Oryctolagus cuniculus: one gene and its partners. The protein of the gene in region 1 binds, or shares a complex with, the protein of each later gene. Links are inferred from orthologs where the notes say so. Each region holds a gene or a part of one and is shown in the gene's direction. Other genes may lie near its edges.

What was found.
Region 2: APOOL (region 1) and IMMT share a complex: the UniProt entries of both Homo sapiens proteins name them as parts of the mitochondrial contact site and cristae organizing system (MICOS) complex. The link is inferred for Oryctolagus cuniculus from reciprocal best matches to the Homo sapiens genes APOOL and IMMT.
Region 3: APOOL (region 1) and CHCHD3 share a complex: the UniProt entries of both Homo sapiens proteins name them as parts of the mitochondrial contact site and cristae organizing system (MICOS) complex. The link is inferred for Oryctolagus cuniculus from reciprocal best matches to the Homo sapiens genes APOOL and CHCHD3.
Region 4: APOOL (region 1) and CHCHD6 share a complex: the UniProt entries of both Homo sapiens proteins name them as parts of the mitochondrial contact site and cristae organizing system (MICOS) complex. The link is inferred for Oryctolagus cuniculus from reciprocal best matches to the Homo sapiens genes APOOL and CHCHD6.
Region 5: APOOL (region 1) and MICOS13 share a complex: the UniProt entries of both Homo sapiens proteins name them as parts of the mitochondrial contact site and cristae organizing system (MICOS) complex. The link is inferred for Oryctolagus cuniculus from reciprocal best matches to the Homo sapiens genes APOOL and MICOS13.

The regions. Positions count from the first base shown.
Region 1 is NC_091453.1:65,869,391-65,873,948, reverse strand, and holds the start of APOOL (MICOS complex subunit MIC27), read left to right. Parts: upstream 1-1,699; 5' UTR 1,700-1,789; coding exon 1,790-1,804; intron 1,805-4,558. UniProt on the Homo sapiens protein: Component of the MICOS complex, a large protein complex of the mitochondrial inner membrane that plays crucial roles in the maintenance of crista junctions, inner membrane architecture, and formation of contact sites to the outer membrane.
Region 2 is NC_091433.1:116,583,244-116,587,251, forward strand, and holds part of IMMT (MICOS complex subunit MIC60), read left to right. Parts: intron 1-948; coding exon 949-1,060; intron 1,061-3,857; coding exon 3,858-3,995; intron 3,996-4,008. UniProt on the Homo sapiens protein: Component of the MICOS complex, a large protein complex of the mitochondrial inner membrane that plays crucial roles in the maintenance of crista junctions, inner membrane architecture, and formation of contact sites to the outer membrane.
Region 3 is NC_091434.1:168,943,735-168,948,458, reverse strand, and holds the start of CHCHD3 (MICOS complex subunit MIC19), read left to right. Parts: upstream 1-1,478; 5' UTR 1,479-1,649; coding exon 1,650-1,730; intron 1,731-4,724. UniProt on the Homo sapiens protein: Component of the MICOS complex, a large protein complex of the mitochondrial inner membrane that plays crucial roles in the maintenance of crista junctions, inner membrane architecture, and formation of contact sites to the outer membrane.
Region 4 is NC_091441.1:109,714,919-109,718,926, forward strand, and holds part of CHCHD6 (MICOS complex subunit MIC25), read left to right. Parts: intron 1-1,966; coding exon 1,967-2,087; intron 2,088-4,008. UniProt on the Homo sapiens protein: Component of the MICOS complex, a large protein complex of the mitochondrial inner membrane that plays crucial roles in the maintenance of crista junctions, inner membrane architecture, and formation of contact sites to the outer membrane.
Region 5 is NC_091447.1:60,301,804-60,306,111, reverse strand, and holds MICOS13 (MICOS complex subunit MIC13), read left to right. Parts: upstream 1-1,254; 5' UTR 1,255-1,705; coding exon 1,706-1,734; intron 1,735-2,673; coding exon 2,674-2,851; intron 2,852-2,958; coding exon 2,959-3,010; intron 3,011-3,163; coding exon 3,164-3,264; 3' UTR 3,265-3,300; downstream 3,301-4,308. UniProt on the Homo sapiens protein: Component of the MICOS complex, a large protein complex of the mitochondrial inner membrane that plays crucial roles in the maintenance of crista junctions, inner membrane architecture, and formation of contact sites to the outer membrane.

The DNA.
Region 1 (4,558 bases):
TTTTGGTGTCTATTATTATTAGTTTCGTTATTTTTTATAACAATTATGTCATTTAGAGGAGGTTTCTGTTAAAAAACTGCTTCAGATATTAAAAATGGTGTGCCACTAATGTCTGTATTAGGTTTGCATTTGATAGATATTTGTTGAATGAATTAATAAGTAAATTAGGTTTATTGCTGTGGCGCAGTGGGTTAAAGCCTCAGCCTGCGGCGCTGGCATCCCATATGGGTGCCGGTTCTAGTCCCGGTTGCTCCTCTTCCAGTCCAGCTCTCTGCTATGGCCTGGGAAAGCAGTAGAAGATGGCCCAAGTGCTTGGACCCCTGCACCCACGTGGGAGACCCGGAAGAAGCTCCTGGCTTCGGATCAGCTGTTGTGGTCATTTGGGGAGTGAACCAGTGGAATGGAAAAACTCTCTCTCTCTCTTTGGCTCTACCTCTCTCTGTAACTCTTTCAAAATAAATAAAATAAATCTTTAAAAAATAAGTAAATGAATCAATATTTGGAATGTTTATGGGTACAGTCTGAACCTCTTCTTTCCTCAGAGTTGTTCATAGGGAGCCTAAGGGGATTGATTTTATTGAGAGTGTTGCACCTGCTCATGGCATCTTCCCCTGAGAACACCAAAATGACCCTTTTAAAATGTAATTTAGATCATGTTACAACTTCCAGACTTCCCATCTTATTCAGAATAAAATCCAAATTCTTCATTATGGCACAAACAGCTTCTACAATGTGTTTTATTTTACTGCCTCTGTATTTATCACTCCAGTCACTCTGGTGTTTTTCTTGGCTGTTCCTTCTGCATGTAACACTTTTTATTAAATTCCTTCAGGGTTTTTCTCAATGTTATCAGTCTTTCCCTAATCTACTTAAACCAGTAAAAAACCAGTAAACTCCTACCATATCCCCGCACTACATATTTCATTTTCCTTCCTTTGTATCTCGTTTTCCATAAGCTCTATAAGGGAAGCCACTACAATTCTGCTCTGTACTGGTAATGATCTGTTTGGCAGAGTAGGCGCTCAGTGACAGTTTTTTTTTTTTTTTTTAATTTATTTTATTTATTTGAAAGTTACTCCCCAAATGACCACAACAGCCAGAGCTGAGCTGATCTGAAGCCAGGAGCCAGGAGCCCCTTCCGGGTCTCCCACGCAGGTGCAGGGGCCCAAGCACTTGGGGCATCCTCCACAGCTTTCCCAGGCCATAGCAGAGCGCTGGGTGGGAAGTGGAGCAGCCGGGACTGAAATGGCACCCATATGGGATGCTGGCATTGCAGGCCGCCGCTTTAACTCGCTGCTGCTTTAACTCGCAGCGCCACAGCGCCGGTCCCCTCAGTAACAGTTTTATAATGAGTGAAGGTCCTCGTGTAGGACAGAGTTAACTTGTTCTTTTTGTGACCCTTTTTACTCGCCATTATTTATTAAGGCCGCTGCTGTGCTCGCTTCCGAAGCACATGTATTAAGGCCACTGTTTTAAGTCGTTATCTAGTCAAATCAGACAAAGAAAAATAATGAAAAGTTCTGCACCCAAGAAAATAACTTTTACCTGGGCGGTGGAGGATATTCTTAAAAGTTTTTATCGGGAACTGAGAGGGTCCACCACAAGGATGATCTATGCGAAACTGCCGCTAAACTAACCAAAGCTGCCGCCAAAGCAGCTGTGGGACGGAGAAAGGGCGGAAGCGGGCAGGCGGGCGTAACGGGGCGGGGCTGCCTGAGGGAAAGCCTGTCGAGCTAGTTTGTCCCTCTTCGCTCTCCGTAAGGACACTTGCGCCGAGAGGGTCGTAGATATGGCGGTCGTTAGGGTAAGTGAAAACAAACTTGTTTAGTTTCTTAGAGTGTCGGTAGCGTCCCAGGGATTACAGAAGGTATCGTCTTAACTTCTGAGGGAGTCCTGCAGCAAGGGACAGACTGGATCCGGTATCGTGAGAGTTCTGGAGTCGTTAATGTTTGAAGCTTCGTTACGGCTACTTCTCCCATTTGGCTTTTCCGCGGTCTGGGACACTTCCCGGTCCTCTGTCCCCTGCCGTAAACTGGGAAACGGCTGGGTGAAAATGGCCGGCGCCGCGACGGAGTACCTACCAGCAGGCGTTTGGGTCTAGCGCTGGGACGAAGAGAAAAGAATTCTTAGCATTTGTTTTCGTGCACAGGGCGGGACCTCATGACCCCTTCGAAGGACTTTATTCAAACATTACTTGGCGCAAAACAGACCCACAGTGAGCGGGTTTATACTCTCTGGGTTAGAATAACAAACGTTAAGTGTTTTTGAGGTCTGTAATGGAAAAAGGTGGCTTTACGTAGGAATCCGTTTACAGGAAGTGACTCAGCTGGCTGTTAGCTGCTTGCTATTCTCTAACTAGGTTTTGGTAACAGTTGTCTACAATATTGACATAGCGGGTTGTAAGTGTATGCTATTCTGCCAGGCTTTGCAGGAGATACAAGTATCAATAATTCAGTTCAGTCGAAGTTTATTTTTACAGCAGCTTAGTATCTGTCTTGGCTCATTTTTCGTATTTTCATTTTTGCCTCTCATACTTTATCTGAATTATCGTAACCCTCCTAATTTAACTCTATGTGTAGCCTGGCCCCATGAAATGTATTTTCCCCTGTGTTGTGAGAGTACTTTTACCAAACTGCAAATCTCGTGTTGTCCCTCTCCTGCTTAAAACCCTCTATCAGCACTCCATCATCTGCTGTCTAGGGTCTGGTTACACGCCTATGTCCGGAACACCCAACCCTGCTTTTACTTTCCAGTTTCATCACTTCCCAGGCTCATCTCTTGTCAGGAACCCCCCTTACATCAATATTGAACTACTTCACCATCCATGCCTTTTTACCTACTCTCTCTCTGGGCTTAAAGTACCCTTTCTCGTCCTCATTCAGTTACTTCCTATTTATAGTTCATTCATTTGACAGATACTTGTGTGCAGCCTTTCCATTTCCTAAGCACAGAATGCCTTTTCTGAGACATTGCCTCCAACTTCCATCTGCTGGTCAGTCCCCAAATGGCCGCAAAAGCCCTGGCTGGGACAGGCTAAAGCCAGGAGCCAGGAACTTCATCAGGGTCTCCCACATGGGTGGCAGAGGTTCAAGTGCTTGGGCCATCTTGGGTCAGGCGAATTAGCAAGGAGCTAGATGGGAAACAGAGCAGCCAAGACTCAAAGCAGCAGTCTGATATGGGATGCTAGTGTCTCAGGCTGTTTAACCCATTGCACCACAACAAGTTCTCCCCTAGCCATAGTAGTTCTTGTACTGCAAATAATAGACTACTTACTTATCTTTTCTACTTTCCTAAACCACAGGGTCCTTAAGAAAAATAATTTTATTAATCTTGTATGTTTAGTACCTCGCATAGGTCTGACTTGTATTAGGTACTCAATAATAAGTTCTACATGAATAAATAAGTGCCAGGTGAGGATAAATGAGATTCAATTAAGCAATGGAGATGCAATGTGTAACACAAGGGACTATGATTCAGAGTAAGGGGAATACCTAATCTCAAGATAAGTACAGAGTACTTTGAGAGTTCACAAGAGAAGGAACTCAAATCTGCTTTGAAGAGAATAAAGACTTCATGGAAGAAGTCATGGTCAGTGGTCAAAAAGCAAACCAGACTAATGTTTGTCACGGAAGCCTAGAGAGGGAGAGCCTTGAGCAATCCTTTGATATGACTTTTAAGTCATTGGCAACTACCATTTATTAAGTGCTTATTACAGGCCAGGCACTATGCTAAAACACTCTACCAATGTTAATTCATTTATTTAACATGACTTTATGTATAGATATTATTATTTACCATTTTAAAGATGAAACACTAAGGCTTAGAGAAGTTAACTAATTTTCCCAGTCATATTGCTAATAGGAGTAAGAACTGAAGGGAGATAAAGAGATACAATAATGAGTGGTATAGGGAGAACCTAGATTGTAAGGGGTTAAGGAAAGGATGAGAGAGAACAGGAATTCATTTAGCACTTAACTTCATTCATTTGCTTTACATATATATTTCAGTTAATCCTCTTAGTGAACCAAAGAAATGGGTAGTATACTCATTTTGCAGATGGAAAATTTCATGCTTAGAAAAAGTGCTTGCTCTAGATCATACTTGCTCAGTGGAAGCCCTGGGTTCAAAATTATTTAACTTCTCTAAGCCTTAGTTATTCATTTATAAAATGGTAATTATAATATCTATCACATAAAATCTTGAAAAATAAATAAATTAGCATTTGTAAGTGTTTTGGCATATGACTGGGCTGTATTTGACTCCAATGTCTTTCTACCACTCCTTGCTTTCTCAGGGATGGAGGTGTGTATTACTCCTTAGAGAAGTTTGATGGTGAAAGGAAGGAAAGAACTCTTGGAATAGGAGTAGCAAATTCCAGAAAAAAATCTTTTATTTATTTCTAAATTTTAAAATTTATTTACTTGGGAGAGAAAAAGAGATACAGAGAGTTCCCATCTGCTGGTTCATCCCCCCCAGATGCCTGAAACAGCCAGAGATGGGCCAGACTAAAGCTGGGAGCTGGGAATTCAGTTGAGGTCTCCCAGTTGGATGGCCAGGA
Region 2 (4,008 bases), on another chromosome or scaffold:
ATCTGGGTTCATACCAAGTACCAGGAGCCAGCCATGTGGAAGAGCATGGAGGGCCAGGAAGCATGGGGTGGGTGGCCTGAGGGCCATGCGCCCCAAAGGTGCAGGACAGCAAGGCCCGCAATGCACAGGGGTGGAGGGAGAGGTTTCAGGCCGGGGCTTCCTGAGCTAGCTGGAAGGGAAAGGAGCAATGAAGAGACCATGTAAAACCACTGATGTATGCAAGTATTGCTTTGCTTGTTTCAGTGAGCCTGTGTTTCCTAATTTAGGAATGATAATGTTTTATTAAAAATAAAAGGGATATATTTCTTGTAGTTTCCTGTGGGTAAGTAGTCATCTTAGGGATATCTGAGACATGCTGCCAGGTTCTGACAAAATGTGAGACATCACAGATGGTAAATAAAATATTTCTGTTACTCCTTAACTTTCTCTGGCACATCTCTGGAAGTCTTTTATGGATAGTACCTTAAATCTAAGGCAGGTAGTAACTGGAAAAGAGAAAAGCAAGCATTACTCACAAATTGATGTGTAATTGCATGAATCCTGGAGATTAAAGAAACAAAAACTGATTTTCATTTTTACTCAGATTCTGTAGTAAACTTTGTTTCTGACACTGTAATTTGATTTAGAAAGTAAATAGAAACACCTGCTTGTTGTATTTGTAAAAGAATCTTTAAGGGGAAGGGCATATGTATACTTTATTGTTTGTCCTAAAAGAACCTTTTGTTAGTACTAAAATATGCATTAGTGATTTGGAATAGAATTTTTGAACTGCAAATTTTCTAGTAATGATGACTTTTCTTACTGTGATTAATAAAATGCTTTTGTTGTAAAGCACTCATAATTTCATATTAAAAGCCTGAAAGACTTGACCTTTGAAATATTATAAATTGTTGTGTGCTGTCTTTTAGAAACAGTATTATATGTAAATTTTTTTTTTTTCCCCTCAAGATTCAGTCTGGTCCACTAAAAATCTCCAGTGTATCAGAGGTAATGAAAGAATCTAAACAGCCCGCCTCACAACTTCAGAAACACAAAGGAGATACTCCAGCTTCAACAACAGGTACTTCTATCTAAAACCATTCTTTAAAAATTATGGGGAAATGAATTGTTTTGATGTATTTGTCAAGAGAAGGCCCCCGGGGAAGGACTCTTCTGGTCCCCAGCTCTCACAAGTCATTCTTGTGCTCAGTTTCAGAGTTGAACATAGCATTGAGCTTTATTATGAAGAACTGAGTGAGGAAACAGTATAGGTTGTCTGGCCTGAAACATATTTATCTTTTTTTCCCTCTGACTCCTAGACTTTTCGCCTCTTTGGGTTTTAAGATTTATTCTCCCCCACCCCCCACCTCTTTTATCTACCTCTTCAGCAGTTCTTTAAGTAATCAAAGTGTCTTTTTGTAGTTCCTGCAGATATATTTTATCTTTGGGTTTCCCAGTAAACCCACCCTAATTTACAACTTGCCTAACTCTAACATGTTCAACATGAATTCAGTCTCCTTGGCTTTCTCCATAGTGAAACTTGTCCTTGATTCAATCAGATGTTTGTTGGCAGATGGTTCACTTAGTGTTATGTGCAGTCTTCTAGGCACCATTGGGTATAGTAATCAACAAAATCATTTTAGAAACAAAAAACCTCTGCTAATATTTCTTGGTGGGATTAAGGGAAAGAGATCAAGTAAAATGTCAGTATGAGAAGGGGAGTATTGCAGTTTTAAATGGAGTGGGTGAGAAAAGCCTCACTTGGAAAGTGTTACTTGAGGAAAGGCTAGAAAGAGAGAAGGGAGTAAGTCATGTAAAAAGCTGGTGGGGAGGCATCCCAGGCAGAGAAGCTAGTGGAAAGAGGCTTATTCAAGTGAGAAGCAGATAACGCTGGAGTAGAGTGAGTGTGGGACGCACAGCAGCAAATCCTACCAGAGAGGGAGCAGAAGGCCTGTTGTGGCAGTCAGTACTTGAAGCAGTGCTAAGAGATTTCATTTCTGAGTGGTGTGAAGAGGTGTTGGAGGGTGCTAAGCCAGGAGGCTAATACTTGACTTGAATTTTTGTAAGATCACTCTGGCTGTTGTGAACCAAGAAGGGACTGAGGGCAGAAGCAGGGAAGCTAGTTAATGAGTTTTTAACTGAGACCTTCAATTTAAAAAAGGAAACTGCATCCATTGGTTCCTCCTCCCATTCCGTCCCTAGAATTACTTCTTTTTCTTTTCCATCAAAACTTGTCATTAAAGTTGCAAGCCCTTGATTTTTAAAACTCTCTATGAAGTGTTTCTATTAAATGACTTCTGCTCCTAATTTACTGCCATCACTGTGAACTTTTCTTCTTGTATTTGAGTGTCATCTTGTTCCTGATCAGATGTCTTCTTTCAGTATCTACTATTCTTCAGAGTAATTGAAATTATTCTTTGGTCCGGGCCAGTGCTGTGGCTCAGTGGGTTAACGCCCTGGCCTGAAGCGCTGGCATACCATATGGGCGCCGGTTCGAGTCCCGGCTGCTCCACTTCCGATCCAGCTCTCTGCTGTGGCCTGGGAAAGCCGTAGAAGATGGCCCAACTGCTTGGGCCCCTGCACCCACAAGGGAGACCCGGAAGAGGCTCCTGGCTCCTGGCTTCGGATCAGTGCAGCTCCGGCCGTTGCGGCCATCTGGGGAGTAAACCAGTGGCTCTCCTCTGTCTGTGTAACTCTGACTTTCAAATAAATAAATCTTTAATAAAAAGAACAATTACTTGTGACACATTTTAAAAAGAAATTATTCTTTGGTAAATTTTGCTTTCTTTTGTGACCCTTCTTTATTACAGACTCTTTTCCTTCATTATTCTCTTTCCATGTTACAGAAATCTGATGTCTACTTCCTACATGTTTTTTTTTTTTTAAAGATTTATTTATGGCCGGCGCCGCGGCTCACTAGCTAATCCTCCGCCTAGCGGCGCCGGCACACCAGGTTCTAGTCCCGGTTGGGGCGCCGGATTCTGTCCCGGTTGCCCCTCTTCCAGGCCAACTCTCTGCTGTGGCCAGGGAGTGCAGTGGAGGATGGCCCAGGTGCTTGGGCCCTGCACCCCATGGGAGACCAGGAAAAGCACCTGGCTCCTGGCTCCTGCCATCGGATCAGTGCAGTGCGCCGGCCGCAGCGGCCATTGGAGGGTGAACCAACGGCAAAGGAAGACCTTTCTCTCTGTCTCTCTCTCTCACTGTCCACTCTGCCTGTCAAAAAAAAAAAAAAAAAAAAAAAAAGATTTATTTATTTATTTGAAAGTCAGTTACACAGAGAGAAGAGGCAGAGAGAGAGAGAGAGAAAGAGAGGTCTTCTCATCTGCTGGTTCACTCCCCAGTTGGCTGCAACAATTGGAGCTGCGCTGATCCGAAGCCGGGAGCCAGGAGCTTCTTCTGGGTCTCCCACGGGTGCAGGGGCCCAAGGACTTGGGCCATCTTCTACCACTTTCCCAGGCCATAGCAGAGAGCTGGATGGGAAGTGGAGCAGCTGGGACTCAAACCCCAGGCCTATATGGGATGCTGGTGGCACTACAAGCGGCGGCTTTTCCCACAGTGCCGGCCCCATACTTCCTTACATGGTAAGGATTAGTACTGTTACTGGAAGTCTTGCCTGAGTGTAATGATAGTTAAAATGCAGATGAATGTTGACAAGACTTCTTTGTCTTAGTGCTTTTCCAACTATCATTCAATTTGTGTGAGTTTGTGTTTGCAGTGCATGGTGCCCCTGTTTGTATATTATTCAGATGTATGGCATTACATGCCTTTGTGTTTTTAAGGAGTCAGATGTAATGTGGGCAGTTCTAGCAGTCGATTATTACGTGTTTGCTCTATTAATCCAAAAAAATATAAATGCCACGAGTAACATATATTTATAGCACCTACAGAGGCAGCTCAAATTATTTCTGCAGCAGGTGATACGCCATCAGTCCCAGCCCCTGCAGTTCAGCATGAAGAACCAGTAAAAATTGATCGTCCTGAAATTACTGGAGGAAAACCCACACCTGTAACTTCAGGTAGTTTAATTAT
Region 3 (4,724 bases), on another chromosome or scaffold:
GGTACTTGGGTCCCTGCCATCCACAGGGGAGACCTGAATTGAGTTCCAGCCCCCTGGCCTGAGCCTAGCCCATCCCTGGCTTTTGCAGGCAAGTGGGAGTGAGCCAGTGGATGGAAGATCTTTCTGTCTCTGTCTTTGCTTCTGCCTTTCAAACAAAGAGAAAATGAATAAGTGATAAATTATTATTGTTGATGTCTGACACACAAGGTGTCATGGCCTGCTGTTGATAATGTTGAAAGCGGCCACCTGAAGGTAGTGCATATTTTCATTACTTTTGTAAGGACAAGGGTCATGGGGCCAGCACTGTGCCACACCAGGTGCTAGTTTGAGTCCTGGCTGGTCCACTTCCAAACAGCTCCCTGCTGATGGGCCTGGGAAAGCAGCAGAAGGTGACCCAAGTCCTTGGGCCCCTGCACCCACATGGGAGACCTGGAAGAAGCTCCTGGCTCCTGGCTTTGGTCTGGCTGAGCCCTGGCCATTGCAGCCATCTGGGGAGTGAACTAGCACATGGAAGACATTTCTCTCTCTCTCTCTCTCTCGTTCTCACTCTCGCTCTCTCCCTCTACCTCTTTGTAATTCTTGCCTTTCAAATAAATAAATAAATAAATCTTAAAAAAAGAACTAGGGTCGTATGGCTAATGTGGAGCAAAGTGTTAAGCAAAAAAATTGTAAGGATGTAGGTGGAACTTGAAAATTGTTTACTGGTCTTGTAGAAATGAAATACTCTAGTGAACCAGAAACTTTCCAAGATGGATTCTCTCAACTTTGCCTGCTGTGGTTTCCATAGTCCCACTAACTTATACTATTCTTCTCTTCGTAACTGTGTTATGGTCCAAGGTATATAACAGAAGTGGAAGGAGACACAAACTTGGAAACCGAATTCCGTATACGGAGTATAATGTACTTTTCGTGTTTTCTCATTTGTAGATTTTATAACGACAGCATTTAAGTTTTCACTTTACAAGAAGAAATCAAACATCTACATAGTTTATGAAATGGGGATACAGGAAAATGCATTTTTTTTAATGACTCAGACTAAAATAATGAGCTGCTAACTTCTACTTCAGGGATTTGTATTTACAGGAAGCTGTGCATCTCCCCCATGAACCTGAGATCCGTTAAGAACGAGCTTGCGTCTTTGACCTCACTCTGCTGAGTTTTCAGGATAACGTCTTCAAAGCATGCTTGAGCGATGATTGCACTTCTTCCAAGCTGCCCAGAGAGCAACCCCTTCTGGAGGGAAAGACTACAACTCCCAGCATGCCTTGCGTCCTCCGGGACGAGGCAAGAGAGTCCCACCACCCCTCGTGCCCGATAGGGACTACAATTCCCACTTCACCCGGGAGCTCCGGAAACTTGTCAAACAGCACCTGTTGCCATAGCATCCGGGTCCAGGCCAGCCAATTCCAGCACCCTCCGCCGAGTGGAGGCGGGCCCTTCGCGGCTCTGACCAATCGGAGGTGTAGCTGTTTCGGCACGTGACCGGAGGAGGCGGGAACTCAGACCGGCGCCTTCTCCTTGCTCCTTGGGGTCGTGGCCTTGCTCCCGTGCAGCCCGGGAAGGGTCCCGGCACGTTGGCGCGCGTGTGCGCGGAGTTGTGAAGCGCTCGTGGTCCGTGCTGGATCCGTGCAGGAGCGGGGTCAGGAGCCATGGGCGGGACCGCCAGCACCCGCCGGGTCACCTTCGAGGCGGACGAGAATGAGAACATCACCGTGGTGAAGGGCATCCGGGTGAGTTCCGGCGGGCGGGCGGCCCACGGCTCGGACCCCTGCCCTGCGTTTCCTGGACCCGCTCTGCTGCCCGCTGCTCGGACCCCCAGCCAGGCCTTCCCTGCACCTCACCGGCCCGAAGCCGGCCTTGGGGAGGATGCGGGAGTTTGACTTCTCCGGGCGTTCGTGCAGAGGCCCTGGGCCGGGTGAGGGGTGCAGTGCGGGGCGGCCGCGGCGCGCCGGGTGCCCCGAGACCCTCCGCTGGCCTTGCCCTGCTCGGCGGTCTCGGGGGCTTCCTCGCTGCCCCTCGCCGCCCTGGCCCCGTCTGTGCAGCGGGTCCGGTGTCACTCCCCTTGGCTCGGGGCCCGCAGCCCGCTTTCCCGCGGGCACAGGCTCCCTCCCCGGGTGCGCTGCCGCCGCCGGCTCGCCTGCCTCGGCTTCCAGTCCTTCCTTGAGCGCGCTCCCACCGGGGCCACCCCTTGCCCTGGCTCGCGCCTCCGCCGCCCCCGCCGCTTCCCGTTCTCTCGGTCTCTGCGCTTTCCCGGGCGCTGCCTCTGTGACCTGTGGCTCCCGGGACTGGTGCCTGCCGGCCGGGCCCGGGCTGGGATAGGCCTGCGAGGTTTCAGAGCTCTGAGAGGTGATAGCGAGTTCTCTTACGCCCTCTCCACGTACTTGGCGCCTGAACTCAAACTTGACTTTGCTCCAGGGAGTCAGCACACCAGCACTCACTTCACTTAACACGCTCTCCGCTGCAAGGACCAGCCTGCATCCGGGAAATAAAGCCATGTGGACTTCAGGGTGTCTTAAGATACTTTGTATTTTCCCTCCCCTGCTGTCCTGTCACACAACCAGTCTCAATGAATGTATTTACTGTTGTGTTACCGGGAAATAAAACTTACTAAATACGCACAGTGTTGAACTCTTTTTGGTCTGTGACCAAGGTTTCTTGATTCATTAACAACAGTGCTGCATTTTGCGATATAGCATCTGAGGCTGCATTCTTGTGTTCTTGGTGGTTTAGTTGCTCCTCCTTGGAGTACAATAAAAAGGACTGGAAACTCTGAGTTTTATGCAGAGATTTAAAAAAAAAATCTTGCCTTTAGGCTGTGGGTGTTCCACCTCTGAGGGTGAAAGAGGAAAGGCAGCACAAGATAAGTTTTAGGTGAGAAGATTTTAGTTAGGAAAATGTGTGTCACTCTAACACAGACACAGGGGGACAGCAGACAGAACTGGCGGCGAGTCTGGCCACAGCTCAGAGATGCCTAGCGAGTATGAAGATGGAGGAAGGTGGCAGTGGGGATGTGTGTTCTCCTGAAATGGAAAGGTGCTCTAAAAATCTGCGTTTCAGAACTTGAAGAAGTATCTTTCTTGGATAGAAAACTTGACGAGTGCATTCTTCAGTTTTTTCTTTTTCCTTCTCCGATATTACGTCTTATGTTTGCTCCTTCAATTCGAGCTCACGCCATGCTCCTTGCAACCTCTCTGTGTTTTTTTCATAGCACGCCCTTCACCTAGATGCCCTTACACTGTTTGCTGTGGCGTCAAGTGCTTCTGCTGCAGGGCGGGTTGGCGGTCTCTGCACTTCGGTTTCCTTATCTGTAAGAGGATGGGGCAGGATCTCAGATCTCTGGTCGTCTGAAATTCTGTGACCCTCGTGCCACTGTCTGTGTCCTGTGGCCTTCCTCAGCGCCGTGCAGTTTCCTCTGGAAATGACACGCGGTGGAATCATTGAGTACTGAGAGGTCACTCTGATTGCTTTGAAGTTATTGTCAGAAGGGTGCCAACGTACAGTTAAACAGCCCTCAGTTTAAATCTTGGGTCAGCTATTTATTAGCCCGTGACCTTGGACAAGGCACGTGTCTGATCATATTTGCTGTCCATAAAGGGGAACACGGTTGCTTCTGTCTTGTGCTGGAAAGATGAGGTACGTTCTTTGCTTCTGGCCCTCTGTAGGTTTTATTAAAGGCTGCCATCGGCCAGCACTGAAGCTCACTGGGCTAATCCCCTGCCTGTGGCCCCAGCACCCTGGGTTCTAGTCCCGTTCGGGGCGCCAGATTCTGTCCTGGTTGCCCCTCTTCCAGTCCAGCTCTCTGCTGTGGCCCAGGAGTGCAGTGGAGGATGGCCCAAGTGCTTGGGTCCTGCACCCCATGGGAGACCAGGAGAAGCACCTGGCTCCTGGCTTCGGATGGGCAGGCCATAGCAGCCATTTGGGGCGGCGAACCAACGGAAAGGAAGACCTTTCTCTCTGTCTCTCCCTCTCACACTGTCTAAATCTGCCTGTCCAAAAAACAAAACAAAACAAAAAATACAAAAAGGCAGCCATCATTTCACAGGGATTCTGTATTATAGTGGAAAGAGAATACCGTGAAGGAAAGCAGACTTGAGCTTGGATCCTAGCTCCGCCTCTCAGAAGCTGGGTGGCTCTGGACAAGGCACTTTTGATTGTAAATCTAGATTTTGGCACTTGTCTGAGGATTTGACGTCATGTATGTGAGCATCTGACAGTGCCTTGTGGCTGTCAGGAGAACCGTTGAGGGAATGGCTACATTAACTCATGCAAACTTAGGTAAGACATGTACGCACGAGTGGACTGGGAAGTGAGTTGCTGGCTTCTGGCTGTCGCCTGCGTGCTTTTTGTCTAGGTATTTTGTAGGTTTTCTTTCTAGTTAATTTTTACGTCTTTCTTGGCTTGAAGCAGTGTCTAGTTTCCTTCTGAGGCGTGGGGAAGGGTAAGAAACAGCAGTCTCTGGATTTAACTCAAGTGTTTTTAGTCGGTTTCAGTGTGGGGCTGTTGAGGCCTGTTTCCCTTTTGAGTTGCAGGTGGATGAGCTGAACTTGACTGGCGCAAATCCTGCAAACCTGCCTAGTTGTCGAAGTCAGAGTGTACCAGCAGATCCTCAGGAGCGAGTCACTTGGAAAACCAGTTCTGTGTTCCATTCCCCTGTGCGGGACAGTGATTTAATTTTTCATATTTCATAAAGAATGACATACTGAGCAACATAAGACTTTTGATAA
Region 4 (4,008 bases), on another chromosome or scaffold:
GTATATCTTACATACTAGACAGACTTTACTCTTACTGTCATAATCTTTAAACACTTATGTTAAAAAAATTAAGTCACAGGAGTGCCAAAAGTAAAAGTCTTGCTCCTGCCCCTGCTTGCAGGGTGTAACCCCCTGAGCACGTTGGTAGTAGCCCCGTATATTCCCCCTGGGTGCAGATCCGTGTATGTGTGTTTGGGCAAATAGTAAAAACTCAAATGTACATTTTAAAAAAGATTTATGAATCTGATTGAAAGACTGAGTGACAGAATGAGAGCAAGAGGGAGAGAAGTTACTTTCCATCTACTGAGTCACTCCCCAGATGGCCACAAACAGCTGGGGCTCGGCAAGCTGAAGCCAGCAACCAGGAGGAGCTCCGTCCCAGAAGTAAACTTCTATATCTATGATCATTTGACTTTAGGCAAGGTTGCCAAGACATTGTTCATTTAGCTATATTTCTGAGTTTGTGATTTTATACTTGTGCATATCTTTTTACAAAAATTGAGATATAGAAAGGATTTTCTGACTGTTCAAACAGTCAGCAGTTGTGTTGCATACACCCTTCCATGATGGTTCCTAAATAGTTCAGGCAATATACACCATAATTTCTTTTATTTTAAAAGATATATTTGAAAGGCAGAGTTAGAGAAATGAGAGATTTTCCACCCTCTGGTTCATTCCCCAAATAGCCACAATGGCCAGGGCTGGGCCAGACTGCAGCTGGGAGCCAGGAGCTTCCTCTCAGTCTCCCATGTGGGTGCAGGGGCCTAAGCACTTGGGCCATCTTCTGCTGCTTTCCCAGGCACATTAGCAAGAGTTGGATCAGAAGTAGAGTACCTGAGACTTGAACCGGTGCCCATATGGGATGCCAGTATTGTAGGCAGTTGCTTAACCTGTTACGCCACGATGCCCGACGCCACGATGCCCGCCCCACCACCATAATTTCTTTAGCCAATTTCCTGTTGTTAGATGCTCTCATGTTTCCAATTCTGCCCCCCCCCCCCAGTGCCACAGTGAGCTTCTTATACATGCCTCTGTGCACACAGGGGAGTACTCTTCTCAGTTAGATATCTGGAACTGGAATTGCTGATCATGTCTTTTGTCTTGAAGTCATATTTAATGTCTTCTCTCAACTGTGCTTTATGATGCCTTACACATATTAGGCAATTAATAAATATTTACTGAAGTGAACTCTTAAGGGTTTTTATTCCGGATGTATCCCCAGCTTGCTGTTTCATCTCAGTAAACTGTTCAATGACCCCCTGATGCCTATTTCACTTCCCTCGAATGAATGGAAGTTTTGGTGATCCAGTCTTCATTAAAGGCATAGGGAGCAATGAGACTAGCAGCGTCCTGATGATCTGCTCCGCGTGTGGATTCGGAGGGTTTACGGAGATGAGTGAGGGCAGCCCTAGCCCACGGAGCCTCGCGGGCTGCCAGCAGGAGGGAGGGCAGGAGGGGCAGCACCGCCTTGAGAGGCACGCACGTCATAACGGGGGTTTAGGGAGGAGAAAGCGATGCTTCACGTGGGTGCTGTTGGAGAAAGGTCTCTGCAGAAGGGAACGCTCGGGTGCCCTAAATGGGAGAGTCAGATGTAGGCAGGTGCTGACGTGCCAGGGTGGGAAGTGGGGCCTGGTGGTGGTTCCGAGGGAACAGCATATGTGGCCCCCGAGGAGGTGAGAAAATGAGAACTCAAGCTTTGCAGAGTGCAGGACGTGCGTCTGGGAGTGGTAGGAGGTGAAGCTGTGGAGCCAGTCCGGGACGTACTGCGGAAGGCTCGGCATTCCTGACAGGGTTGGCTTTGGCCTGATGGGCTCTGGGTACCAGGAGAGGTTTCTGAGTGGGTCTGGAGGAAGCAGTATGTTCAGGAAATCTGGGGCGTGAACGCAGGGGACTCTGCCTTTCTGGAGGTTTCTGTGGTGTAACTTGTCCCTGTCCCCCTCTTCCCATTCCTCAATCCTTCCTGCAGCTGTCTGAAAATGTGGTTAACCGCATGAAGGATTCCAGCCAGCCTGCAGCAGGCCAGCAGCAAGCCCCTCCGCCGTCTGCGTTGGGGTCTCCAGGAGGCAGTGCAAACACCCCACAGAAAGGTAGGGCGGGTCGCACCCCGGGGAGAGTGGAGGAAGAGGGTGGAGGGTACAACCAGTCACCTGCTTGTCAGAGTACAGTGAGCGGCCCGTGTGGCTCACGTGCGTGCCAGGGTGATGTCAGCAACACTCTTGCGGGGCGTGTGGCTCTCCATGCGTGGCAGACGCTGTCTGGGGCAGTGAAGGCAGCACTGTTCAGTCAGAGCTCTCGGGACCTGGGCCAGGCTGTTTTCCCTCACTCTGTTTCAGTCTCTCCACCTGTGAAAACAGAGCAGAAGGATTGGGTTTGACAACTCAGGTAAGAAGTTGCTGCTAAGGATCCTTAAAAGAAATGTAACCACTACAGAGCCTCAGCCGGACATCCAGCCAGGCTTCAAGTCAAAGGACTGTAGGGATTTACTTTAATTGGGCCAAATAAGGAGGAATTTTGCTCAAGACTTTGGTGCCAACCTCGGTAACTCTCATGTAACCACAGGTCAAGGGGTCCTTTCGCGGCCTCCGGGAGGGGTCCTCTTCCCTGGCCCCCTGTGGAGCTGGCACCCAAGCCAGGCTCCAGCTGACTTAATCTCTACCCTGTTATGTCATCACAAATGAAGAAATTTGTTCTTTTCCTCAAATAACTACTTGTAGCAAACATAAAGAAGCAAAGTCCGTTTTAAGAAAAGAGGCTATAAGCTACGAAAACAGATACTACGAAACAAAAATGTCCTTGGAGCTGCTGCTTTTCTGCTCAGCCAGCACCCTCTATGGGGATCTGGATCTGTCTATGCATGTAACTTGGTTTAAAACCATGTCATTTGTCTGGAGTAGCCATCCACTAGAGGATAAAGTCTGTGCCACAGTGGATAACCGTGCACTGGAGTGTTCTCGTGCATTGCCTCCCAGCGGAGCTGTCTTCTCTCCTCATCTTCCCTGTTAGGGTTAGAGGGCAGCAGCTATATCCTGTCCACTTAGCACTTCTTGAATGCTGTTCATGGACCAGGTCCTGTGCCTCCATGCTAAGACATAATGACAGGCAGGCTGGTATCCTGTCTGTGGCACACACAGCTTTGGCTCAGGGGCCAGATGTGTACCCCAGTGGTTATGTTAGTGTAGCATGGTGCAAGGCTGCCCAGGGTTGGTGGTAGCACACAGGAGGCAATGGCTCATTACTTCAGGGAGGATTTTGAAAGATAGAATGTGGTAGAAGGGCATTTCAGGTAGGGAACAGTAGGGGGAGGGGCCCAGAGGCCAGTGCAGGGGTCTGCTCTGAATGTAAAGTTTAAGGGAAGGAGAGACATGGGGGTGCTATTTAGGGGCCAGGCCATGGAAACCTCCACACAGTAGCCAGAGAGCTCTGGCTTCATCCTCGAGCCAGGGAGCAGGAGCCAGGTGCTCTGACTGCCGTCCCGGTGCTGCCTGCAGCAGGGCTCCCCGTGCGCCTTGAAGCGTATCAGTAGCTGGGTCTGGAGATCTACAAGTGACAGAACTTTACCATGGGTGCTTCATCATCACCCCTCTCTAGCCAACTGATGAGGGTTTGAGGAGGGGTATAACTTGACCCAGGGTATTCTAATAAACTGGATTGCCTGCTGAGAGGGAGAAAATGATGGGAAAAGTGAAAATTGCCAAACTAGGTTACACCTCAGTTTCAGCTTTGGAAGATAAAATAAGCATTTGCCTTGGTTTTGTTAAGTCTCAGCATTATACAAAGCAAGAATAGTGGTTCATTTGTCATTCGGTCTTAGTTCTCACCAGAGACTTTGCAGTTTACGGGATGGGAGTGAGCTTTGAGTTTGAGTGCTGGGGGAGAGTCAGCCTAAGTGCACCGTCTGGAAGTTGACTGATTTTAAGATATTTTTAACTTGTAAAACTAGTTTTTGCTTTTATTTTTGTGATGGAACAAGGTTAGAAAAAGAAGTTAAATTTAAATCCTTATCTCACA
Region 5 (4,308 bases), on another chromosome or scaffold:
ACACACCCTCGGAGCCACCCACCCGCCTGGGAGCCCCCGGAGTGGGCTCCTTCTGCCTGGCCCAGCCTTTATGGTGGGGCCGTCTGGGGAGTGAGCCAGGGGCTGAGAGCAACCTCTTCCCAGCTCCGCACCCCGCCCTGTCCTTCAAGCTTTCAAATGCATTGTATAAATAAATTAAATAACACACACACCCCTTGTGAAAAAAGAAAGGGAGAAACAGCCCAGGTTCATAGGGGAGTCTGTCCTGCGCAGGCACCGGCCCATCACGCCTGGGTGGGTCGGGGTCTGTCTAAAGAAGCCACGGGCAGACAGGAGCTCAAAGATGCCCAAGGCAGAGGCGGCCCAGGGGGCGCAGGGCAGATGGGGGGGATCCCTCAAGTCTCCAATCTCCAGATCCAGGCCCGAGTCCTGAGACCCCGCTCAGCGGCTGACCCCAACCCGCCTCTCCCAGGCCCCAGCGTGCCCCAAGTACACGGTGCGGGGGCCCAGGTGCTGGCCTCGCCTCCTCCCACGCTGTCGCCCACCACGCACGGCCTCCGGGTCTCAGCAACGCCCCTACAGGAACCCCCGACCCTCTTCTCCCGCGCAGACTCCGGACCCCGCCTCCTGCTGGACCTGGGGCGGGGGCGCCAATGGCCTGGCCCCGCCCACCTGTCGCTGCACCTGTCCGCTCTCAGTGGCAGCTTCCGGTCAGGCCGACCCCTTCCCAGGCCCAGGTCAGCGCACGAAGCCCCTCGGCAGGGGCCTCTTCCCAGCCCCCGCCCCGCCCGCAGCAGCCAGGCAGAGTGGACGATGTGAGATGGACAGAGATGGGCGGACCGACAGTGGCCAGCGGGGATGAGGGAGGAGTGGGGGGCCGGAGCTTTCCCCCTGGACAATGGGGACCCACCGCGCGCCCCCAGCTGCGCACTCACCCACTCGGGCCTGTTTGCCCCAGTGTCCGGCGAGGCTGGGGTCCTGGCCTGGGAGTCACGCCAACGCCCTGAGGGTCTCCCTTCCCAGCCCAGTGCGGCCGGGCCCCCGACCGCGCCCCCTCCCGTAGGGCCCGAGTCACGTGACGCCAAACCCACCTCCTCGGGGGGAGGGGCCGGGCCGCCAGGACTCCGCGCCCCCCGTTGCCTGGCAACGGCCTCCGCCCGCCCAACTCCCGGCCACCCGCGCCGTGGCCCCGCCCCCGGGGCGGAAGTTCCGAACGGCGCGCGATCACGTGACCGAGGGCCCGCCTCTCGCCCACAATCCCGCCCTGGCGTTGCCGGGACAACCACCTTCTCGGCGCGGGCTCCCTAGGTCGAAGGCTTTTGTCTCCCGCGCGGGCGCGGCTGACTTCGCCTCTGACCCCTTCTTGGTCACCCTTAGGCTTCACTCCAGACCCCCTACGTCTCTTTCCACGCACGGACGCCGGGGTAGGACCAAACTACATTTCCCAGGAGGCTTCGCGGCCCAGCGAGTTCACGGGGCGGTACTGACTACACTTCCCAGACGGCCTTGCGGCTCCCGGGTCGCCCACACAGCTTACATTTCCCAGAAGCCTCTCTGCCCGTAGGACCCTCGCTAGTCCTTCTCCCGAGTCTCAGAGGCTTTAGCGGGACTTCGACTCCCGGAGGCCTTTGCGGCTGACAGGAAAGACTACAGGTCCCGGCGTCCTCTGCGCACCGCGAGCGGAAGCGGCGGGCAGTGTGGTGTCCTTGCGCGGAGCCGAGCGACCATGGTGGCCCGAGTGTGGTCGCTGATGAGGTTCGTGGGGCGGCCGGGCGGGGTCCCGAACCCCCGAGAGAGTCCCCGTCAGGACCCCCACCCCGCCTGTCCGGTTGGCTCGCGGTGGTCTGCTCCCCGCTCAGATAGGAGCGCAGACTGGTCGGAAGCCACCGGGGGTCGCGGTCGCCCCTTCCCGCCGCCTGTGTGCCGTGAGGCCGGGGCGGGGAGTCCCGCATTGGGGTCCCCCGGGAGGCCAGGGTGCCCACTGCCCCTGCCCTGTACCGTGGGGCCGGCGCGGGGAGTCCCGCATTGGCGTCCCCCGGGAGACCAGGGTGCCCGCTGCCCCTGCCCTGTGCCGTGGGGCCGGCGCGGGGAGTCCCGCATTGGCGTCCCCCGGGAGGCCAGGGTGCCCACTGCCCCTGCCCTGTGCCGTGGGTTCGGGGGCAGGGAGTCCCGCATTGGCGTCCCCCGGGAGACCAGGGTGCCCGCTGCCCCTGCCCTGTGCCGTGGGGCCGGCGCGGGGAGTCCCGCATTGGCGCCCTCCGGGAGGCCAGGGTGCGCGCTGCCCCTGCCCTGTGCCGTGGGGCCGGCGCGGGGAGTCCCGCATTGGCGTCCCCCGGGAGACCAGGGTGCCCGCTGCCCCTGCCCTGTGCCGTGGGGCCGGCGCGGGGAGTCCCGCATTGGCGCCCCCCGGGAGGCCAGGGTGCGCGCTGCCCCTGCCCTGTGCCGTGGGGTCGGGGTCGGGGAGTCCCGCATTGGCGTCCCGGGAGGCCAGGGTGTGCACTGCCCCTGCCCTGTGCCGTCGGCCGGCGCGGGGAGCCCCGCATTGGCGCCCCCCGGGAGGCCAGGGTGCGCGCTGCCCCTGCCCTGTGCCGTGGGGCCGGCGCGGGGAGTCCCGCATTGGCGTCCCCCGGGAGGCCAGGGTGCGCGCTGCCCCTGCCCTGTGCCCTCCCTGAGCGCCCACCTCCCGCGCCGCAGGTTCCTCCTGAAGGGCAGCGTGGCCGGGGGCGCCGTCTACCTGGTGTATGACCAGGACCTGCTGGGGCCCAGCGACAGGGGCGAGGCGGCGCTGCGCAAGGCCGAGGAGGTGGTGCCGCCGGCCGTGTACCAGCTCAGCCAGTACGTGTGCCAGCAGACGGGCCTGCAGGTGCCCCAGGTACTCGGCCGCGCGCCCTCTCCGGCTCAGGCCGTGCGCGGGGCTGGGGCGCCCTCCCCCCCACCCCGACCCCGCTCACCGGCCCGTGCCCCTCCCCCTCCCCGCAGCTCCCGGCTCCTCCCAAGATCAGCTTCCCCATCCGAGAGACCTGGGATAAAGGTAGGTGCGCGCCCCGCCCCTGGGGACCACCCCTCTTCCTGCGCTGTGTGTCTCCCGTGGATCTCGAGGCGAGGGGGGGAGGGGCGGCTGGGCCGTGCCTCAGTTTCCCCGCTGGTCTCCAAAGCCCGGTGCCCGGCCCCGCCTCCCCCGCAGGCATCCTCACGGTGATGGCGGCTCTGTCTGCGGCCCCGGCCAAGGCCCGCGAGTACTCCAGGGAAGGCTGGGCGTACGTGCGGGAGCGCACCAAGCAGTGAGCGGCCCGGCCGGCCCAATAAAGGCCTCTGCACTTGCCCCTGACCCGCTGCTGGCCCGGGCGCCGCGGGGGGGGGGGGGGGGGGCTGGGAGCCCGCCTGGGGCCGGCCCTGCGCCGGTGGGTGGGGCCAGGGTGGGCTCGGCTCTCGGAGGCGGGGGGCGTGCCAAGGCCCTCCTGCCCTACCAGGGCGGGCAGTGTCCCTTCTGGCGGCCCTGGGGGTCCGCAGCACCCCTCGCCACGCAGCTCTGTGACCATGGAGGTCTCTCGTGGGGTGTGGCAGCTGGCGGCTGCGGGGGGAGGGGCTGCACCCGAGGCCATCAGCCCCTCCATGGGGACAGGGGAGGGGTGGGCCCAGAGGCCCGCACTAGGCGCTAGGCAGGGCGGCCGAGTGGCCACGTGGCCGGGACCGCTGGCGGCCGTGAGCTCGGGGGGCTGAGCCGGCGCTGGGGGGCACCGCGGCTGCCCCTGGGGGGTCGTGGTCACTGCACCTGCCTGCGGGCCTGGCGCAGCCCCCGGCGATTTACCCCGAGTGACCCCTCACCGCAGGATGTGGTGGGTGAGCCCCGGGGAATCCTGGGACACACCCCCGGGGGCCAGCGCGCCCCACGTCGCGGTTGTGGCTTGGGTGGCCCTGAGGCGCGCGCCCTGCACTTTCTCGGCACTCGGAGCCGGGTGGGCACCGGAAGTCAGGACAGGCGGGAGCCCGCCCCAGAGCGCCCAGTCCTAAAGCCTCGGGCAGCCACGCACAGGCCACCTCTGGTGTGTGGTAGAAACTCGGGGAGGCAGTTTGAGATCCACGCACGCGAGGAGTGTTCCGAAGACCCACGGGGCGGGGCAGCCCACCTGGGGAGGGGACTAGCGGATGGAAGACTTGGCTAACCCAGCCTTCAGACAAGTCGGTGTTGGCCCGAGGGAACACAGGGTGTGGGTCCCCACGTCAGTGTCCCACGTCCCCGTGAGTGCACAGCCTGGGAGGCGGCAGCAACGGCCCTGCCCCCACGTGGGAGCCCCGGGTGGAGCGGGTGGCCCTGCCCCGATGTGGGCC